2 linked regions of the Danio rerio genome follow. The protein of the gene in region 1 binds, or shares a complex with, the protein of each later gene. Links are inferred from orthologs where the notes say so. Each region holds a gene or a part of one and is shown on either strand. Other genes may lie near its edges.

Region 1 (2,992 bases):
CTGCATTAGGCTCTATCAGAAAACATTATCTGTCAAACGGAGTCATATTGTTCACTATCTTTGACTGAGATGTTATAGTGCATCTACTTTGTTGGTTACACTAACGTAAACACACTGATATCAAAGGTAACAACAACAATATATTGAAATGAGCATTTAAGGAACAATAGATGCTTTAAATTCTTGCTGCCTTGAGTTCATGCCTAGAAAATGTATGTATCATATATCGTAGTCATTCTCGCTTTAAACTTAGATTTATTATACAGTCAATTTGCTTACCTTGTTTCACAGGCGCTAGGAAGCACTAAATAGTGCATAAAGTGATACACATCATTGTACTTCTTCATGAACAGTCATCTAGCCATTCAGCTCGGACAGTGTGAAGCCATGTTGTACGATCACGTGATCGCTGAAACATAAAGGCTGATTGGCTCACGCGTGTGGGAAGGGACTTTTCGGAAAACCGTATTTCTTTTACAAACTTTTATTTTTAAAATTATAAATAGTGTTTATTATGCATTCCTTATACTATATATAAAGAAAATTACATATTAGATATAAAAGACAAACATTCTTTTGATAATTTTTATTAACACTGAATAGTATGAATACAAACAAAACCTTTACATTATTTTATACAATTAAATTCTAGCAATCAATATAAGACAGCAGCAGCAACACATTTCTCATGAGTCTTCCTTTTCTTGGAACCTATAACAAAAAAAAGTAAAATATTAATACTATATAATACCCAAAAAAGACAGTCAGACAGTTGCAGCTTATTCAAAACCAGAAAATCAGAGCACATCTGTCCTCAGGTCTTTGCACTAGCTCCCAGTTACATTCATAATCGATTTAAAAGTAGCCTAAGACCTAACTGAATACAAACCTAACAGATCATTCAGATCATTAGAACCAAGTAAATAAGAAATCCCAAGTGTTCAGTCAAAGCGGGGTGAATCGGCCTTCGGCTATTAACCCTCCACAGCTGAAATCCGCTTCCAGAAACGGTCAGATGTGCTCCAACATTAGGCACATTCAAATCAAGACTGAAAACAGTTTAGCTGTGCCTTTACTGAATGAGCACTGTGCTATGTCCGACAGATCAAACCATTACGGCTTTCGTTTTCATTTTCATTCTTTAATAACCTGTTTTAAACACATTTGAATCAGCTTTTAATCATTTTTAAATCTTTTAAAGATTTTATTTTATGTCTTTTATTCTTGCTTATGTAAAGCACTTTGAATTACCATTGTGTGCGAAATATGCTATATAAATAAATTGTACTTGTATTAGTGCTAATTGGTTGAATTACAGATAGATAGTAAATAATAGTATATGTAGAAAACGTATTGTTTTTAAATGTAAATGTACTTACTCTAAAATTGTGAGAAAAATCAAGACCAACTATATAAACTGGTTGACTTTCAAATGACACTGACATCTCAAAAACTAGCTTTAACAAATAACGTTTAGTTTGGGTGCTGTACCAAACGTTTCCGCTTGATGAATTTAGTTTGCAATGCATTTATTTTTGATCGTGAACAACACAAGTGTGTCTGTAGTTCTCCAGAAAGGTTAAATTTTACAAACCATATCCAAGATTTTAAAGTCTTTGTTTACATAGCAAGTGCAAAAAGAGGCTTAATGTAAGTTTTTATTTATACCAATAAAGTTTAAAGTACAATAAAAATTATATATATATATATATATATATATATATATATATATATATATATATATATATATATATATATATATATATATATATAATTTGTCACTCTCTAAAATTTCAAAGGAGCACCAAGGGTTTATGAGCATGCTGTGTTAATTACCTGCAGTGAATACATGTGAAGAAAACAGTTTGCCCTTCATCTGCAGATCTCATCTGTCTTGTATGATAAACCATTCCCTCTTTATTACAGCGAGAACATTTCCTGTCAATCTAAGGAAAAGTTTTCAGAAGGTGAGAAAAAAGTGAAAAAGTTTACAAAGAGAATTAATGATATTTCAGACTCAATTACTCTTTTTTTGTAACATACCACTGGCCCCTTCAATTCAGCATCCTCTGCACTTTCAACAGCGACATTGCTCTGATCCAAAGGATTAAACATCACCGATGACTTGATCACTTGACTTGTGAAGTCTGAAAGAGAATCATACTACTGGGTTATAACCAGGGCCAGACGGAATCTGCGGACGTTTTTTGCTATTTCTGCTGAGAATTTTGGTAAAAATCTGCGGATTTCTGCGGAATTATTTTGGGAGTATCCAGCAGAGTATCATAGCTAAAACCTTAATATATTAAATAAAAAGTAAGTAATTACTCAATAAAAACTGAATAAATTTAGATTTACACATTTACTCAAGTAAATAAACAGAATTATGATGGGCTAATAATCTGCAGAAATCTGCGGAATTCTGTGGAAAATCTGCGGAATTCTGCGCAAGCAGATTCCGTGTGGGCATAACATAAACCTGCAAAGAAAAAGCACCTTCATCATTGACATAATGGACCCGTTTCAGTAAGGAGGTTCAACCAACTCGAACTTTAAACTTGAACTCTGAGTTGACTTACCAAGAGATTAAAAACTCAAGAGTTTTTAGTTTCAGAACAGCTGATCTGAGTTAGGTCAACCAAGTCTTGAGTGGACTGATTCAGAGTTAATGCTGTAGTCACACTAGAGTTTGAGCTTGCGAAATTCTGTTGTACAGGGCTGCACAAAAGGCCGAAATTAAACAAGATGATTGGATATTAAAAAAGCGAGTGACTGCTCCATGTTTTAAATTCCTGTACAGAGTTCACGTTTTGCTCTTCGATTGGTCTCTCACAATCATGTGATGCGATTTAGCAGGACAGAGTTCACCAAGCTTGAACTTTCCAACGCAGTGACACACGACCTTACGTTTCCGAAAAAAGTCTATGGGGAGAGAAGTCCAGCGTGACTGCAGCTTTATGCGTGCACACCACACAACTATAAAAAGGTATTA
Region 2 (3,761 bases), on another chromosome or scaffold:
TTTCGTGAAAATGCTCTAAGAAACATTTCGAAATTGAACTTCCGGGTGGCGATACTAACGTTACCAATCCTGGTAGAAGAAATGCTTCACTCATGAATATTAATTACGTCACATGTCAATCTTACTTTAGTATTGCGTGATTGGGTCAGAGTTAGATTTAGTAGGCGGTCACGGAAGCGTGCCTCATGAATATTATGTTACAAAGCTGTCATGTGTATTTCCTGCCTTCTTTTCTTTTCCAAAACGCTAGAAAATAGATTTGTCTTGGTTTAAATAAACTATATTTATTTGTCGGACGTGATGCAGTGGCGCAGTAGGTAGTGCTGTCGCCTCACAGCAAGAAGGGTACTGGTTCGAGCCTCAGCTGGGTTAGTTGGCGTTTCTGTGTGGAGTTTGCATGTTCTCCCTGTGTTCGTGTGGTTTTCCCCACAGTCCTAAGACATGCGGTACAGGTGAATTGGGTAGGCTAAATTGTCCATAGTGTATGAGAGAGACCTAGAGATGGGTTGCAGCGGGAAGGGGATCTGCTGCGTAAAACATATGCTGGATAAGTTGGCGGTTCATTCTGCTGTGTTGACCTCAGATTAAAAAAGGGACTGAGTCGAATAGAAAATGTACTCTCAACATTTTGTTTAAAAACTTTAATGGTTTGCCACAAAAGAGTTTTTTGGGTTTATTGGGTTTATCAAAATGATTGGGTTTTACAGTGCAGTTACAATAAAATGTTAAAATCTTTATGTTGAAACTGTAGTTTCAGAGAAATTTGAGAAACACCAGAGTTGATTATTTTTAGGATCCCTCTGCAAAACATGGTGAAGGAGCCTCAGACATTGCATTAATAAAATTGAATGTCAGTGCTGTCTGATCTGATTGTAAAATAAATCATAGAAACTTGTGCTGTTGGGCACAAACTGTCTGTGTGGTGTAAATAATCAGCATTACTTAGTCATGTCTACAAGCATAAACCTTATTCTGGACATAATCTAAACTAGTGTATGAATATTATAGTTTTATTGCTCAGTCCTAACATGAAATTCAATATAAAAAGCTTGTAGAATTAAGAATACTTATTTGCCATCATCAGTTTAAAATAAATTTCCTTCACTTTATTTTTATTTATTTCAGTTTAAACATCAGTTTAGGCCTTTATTTATTTATTTTGTCATTTATTTTGCATTTTAGACCAAATTCAGCCTTGGAGAACAAAATAGACTACTTTCAAAAGCTTTTACAATACATTTTGAAAGGCTTTTAATCCATATTTATTCAATTTTAAAAATAGTTGTGCAAATTCAATTAATATCATATCAGAACAATTGAATGGAAGTTTCTGTTTAAACTGTTTAAACCGATTGGTGTCGCTGTTCGTGCAGGAACGCGTGCTAATATCAGCCGAGGAAACCGTAATAATGGCGGCGACCTGTTCGTGGAAAACATGTGAAGAAACGGAACAGAATACTTTTATTGGTAATGTTTTAATACCCAGAGTATCATAAATGTAACATAATATATAATTGCTGTTATTTGTTAGCTGTAATAAACTAATCTTATTCTTCCTCTATGTATTTAACGCACCCACGTGGATATGGTCATCTCGACCAAATAATAAACAATGTACACTCAGTCTAACAGTATAGTTTTTAAAACTGTCACGCATTGTATTTTAAAGCATTATTCTTGTCATTACAGTTAAGTTCTCTAATGGAAATGTGAAAAATGCCGAGGAGCTGGACTTTACTGTCTTCAAACACTCAAATGCATCAAATCCCAGAAAGAAAAACAGACGAATAGTGGTAAAACACTTATACCTACTGAAACTGCGTTTGTTTTATAACTTTAAAAAGTCTAAATTGAAGCAATTGTGTTGTTTGTGCTTTTAGGAACTAACTTTATCTTTTCTATGCAGGTTGCAGATTCAGATAGGCTTCCCTATGTAGGGAGCAATTTTGGGTCTGGATCGCTGCAGTCTAATAATATGTGCAAGTGAGGTCATCACGTTGTTATTTATTTGCTGAGCAACACTTAAATAACCTCTCAATAATGGTGTGTAAATGTTGTCAACAGGTATTTTGTGGGAGTTCTTGACAAGCAGACTATGCAAATGAAAGTTCATAGTGCTCAGCTGTTCAATATGCTGCCCGTCATACCAGGTAAACAGTTTTACATCTGAAATATTATGGACATAAATGTTTAGGGTTCTTAGAGTTCAAAGGAACTTTTACTCGTTTTTGGGGGTGAAATTGTTTGCATGCCTCTAAGTCTGTAACGTTAGTAATATTATTTGTATTACCATGTTACTGAGTGCTGTTAGTATAATATCTCATACATTATTATATTGTGTAATAATCGTTAATGGTTATCATTTATAGTGAACATGAATATTTATACTATTCAAATATTTTTGTCATGACAGCGCTCTGAGAGGTTTAGTATGGTAATATATATGTATTTGGCATTGTTGATGTATTTGGTCTTGGCGGCATAGATCTGCTACGCAGCTGCTGCTTTGATTGCTATGGCGGAACAAGTTCTGTGACTTGCTGCTGCCAGTATATTCACAGACATGCAGTATAGACTTTTTTGAGAGATGTAAACAATAACTATGGTTTAAATGTATTTCCTGTTTTACATTTTTTGTTTCCATAGTTTCTAAAAGGTCCACCTATTGATAATGTTATGACAGCTGTTTTTAACGTTAAGATGGGATTTCATTGAAATGCCTCTTGTTACAGTTATGAAATAGTTTGACAGGACATGTTCATTGGCCAGTGATATCATATTGAAATGGTATATATATATATATATATATATATATATATATATATATATATATATATATATATATATATATATAAAACCCATAGCAGATATATGGAGGGGGTACTCTGAAAAACACACTTTATACTATATAATGCTCCACTATTTTCTTTTCCAATTCAACAGTAATGTTTTGGGCTATGTTCACACTGCAGCCAAATGTGGCCCAGATCAGATTTTTTTGCTTACATGTGGCTCAAGTAATGACCAAACTGCATGGAATCTCATCTTTATAGTTCAGATTTGTGCCACTATCAAATGCGAAATGCATCATTATCTGTGCTGCAAACATCATCTATTCCTCAGCAGCATTGTAGAATGACGAACAGGACAATTACTTTACCACAGAAATTGGTTGTTCATTTTAAAAAAGATTTTGAAGGCAAAACTGGTTTTGTTAACGATGCGTACACTAAGGAGGGGGCACTTTCATTTTAAGGGGGAAATTTCTTTCCAATAGAAAAAAGGGCAGGTGCTCGAGCACCCGAATCCCCCTTCAGCACGTGCCTGCTGTTTATAAGGAAGTAAAATAAAATAACTCTGCAAACAGAGACCAACTCCACCTTCACAGTTCAGTTTGCGACTGCTCATTAACCCTTGATGAGTTTACCACAGCGGTGGTCAGAAAGACACGCACCGCGGTTGTCATAGATCACAAATGATCAGTGTTTTCAAATCACAAGTGACTTATTTTAGGTCTGAAATGCCGTAATACGCGTTCGTAGTAGCAGAACAATCCTTTAAATTTTATGAAATATGAAAAGGGCAATAATCATGTAAGCATGATCTGACAATTTGCTTACTTCATACATTTCGTGCAAAATTAGACATTTTGTGCTGTCCGTAATGTACTTTTGCGCATGCAGATCTGTTCACACTGCAAATCTGATATTGGCCACATTAATAACAACAATGTAAACAGCTATGCCAAAAAAAATAAATCA

What was found.
Region 2: polr1h (region 1) and polr1e share a complex: the UniProt entries of both Homo sapiens proteins name them as parts of the RNA polymerase I (Pol I) complex. The link is inferred for Danio rerio from reciprocal best matches to the Homo sapiens genes POLR1H and POLR1E.

What each region holds. Positions count from the first base shown.
Region 1 is NC_133194.1:29,750,703-29,753,694, forward strand, and holds the end of polr1h (DNA-directed RNA polymerase I subunit RPA12), read right to left. Parts: intron 2,148-2,992; coding exon 2,044-2,147; intron 1,947-2,043; coding exon 1,837-1,946; intron 712-1,836; coding exon 687-711; 3' UTR 572-686; downstream 1-571. UniProt on the Homo sapiens protein: Core component of RNA polymerase I (Pol I), a DNA-dependent RNA polymerase which synthesizes ribosomal RNA precursors using the four ribonucleoside triphosphates as substrates. Can mediate Pol I proofreading of the nascent RNA transcript.
Region 2 is NC_133176.1:21,148,133-21,151,893, reverse strand, and holds the start of polr1e (DNA-directed RNA polymerase I subunit RPA49), read left to right. Parts: upstream 1-1,374; 5' UTR 1,375-1,409; coding exon 1,410-1,467; intron 1,468-1,689; coding exon 1,690-1,793; intron 1,794-1,906; coding exon 1,907-1,983; intron 1,984-2,064; coding exon 2,065-2,150; intron 2,151-3,761. UniProt on the Homo sapiens protein: Component of RNA polymerase I (Pol I), a DNA-dependent RNA polymerase which synthesizes ribosomal RNA precursors using the four ribonucleoside triphosphates as substrates.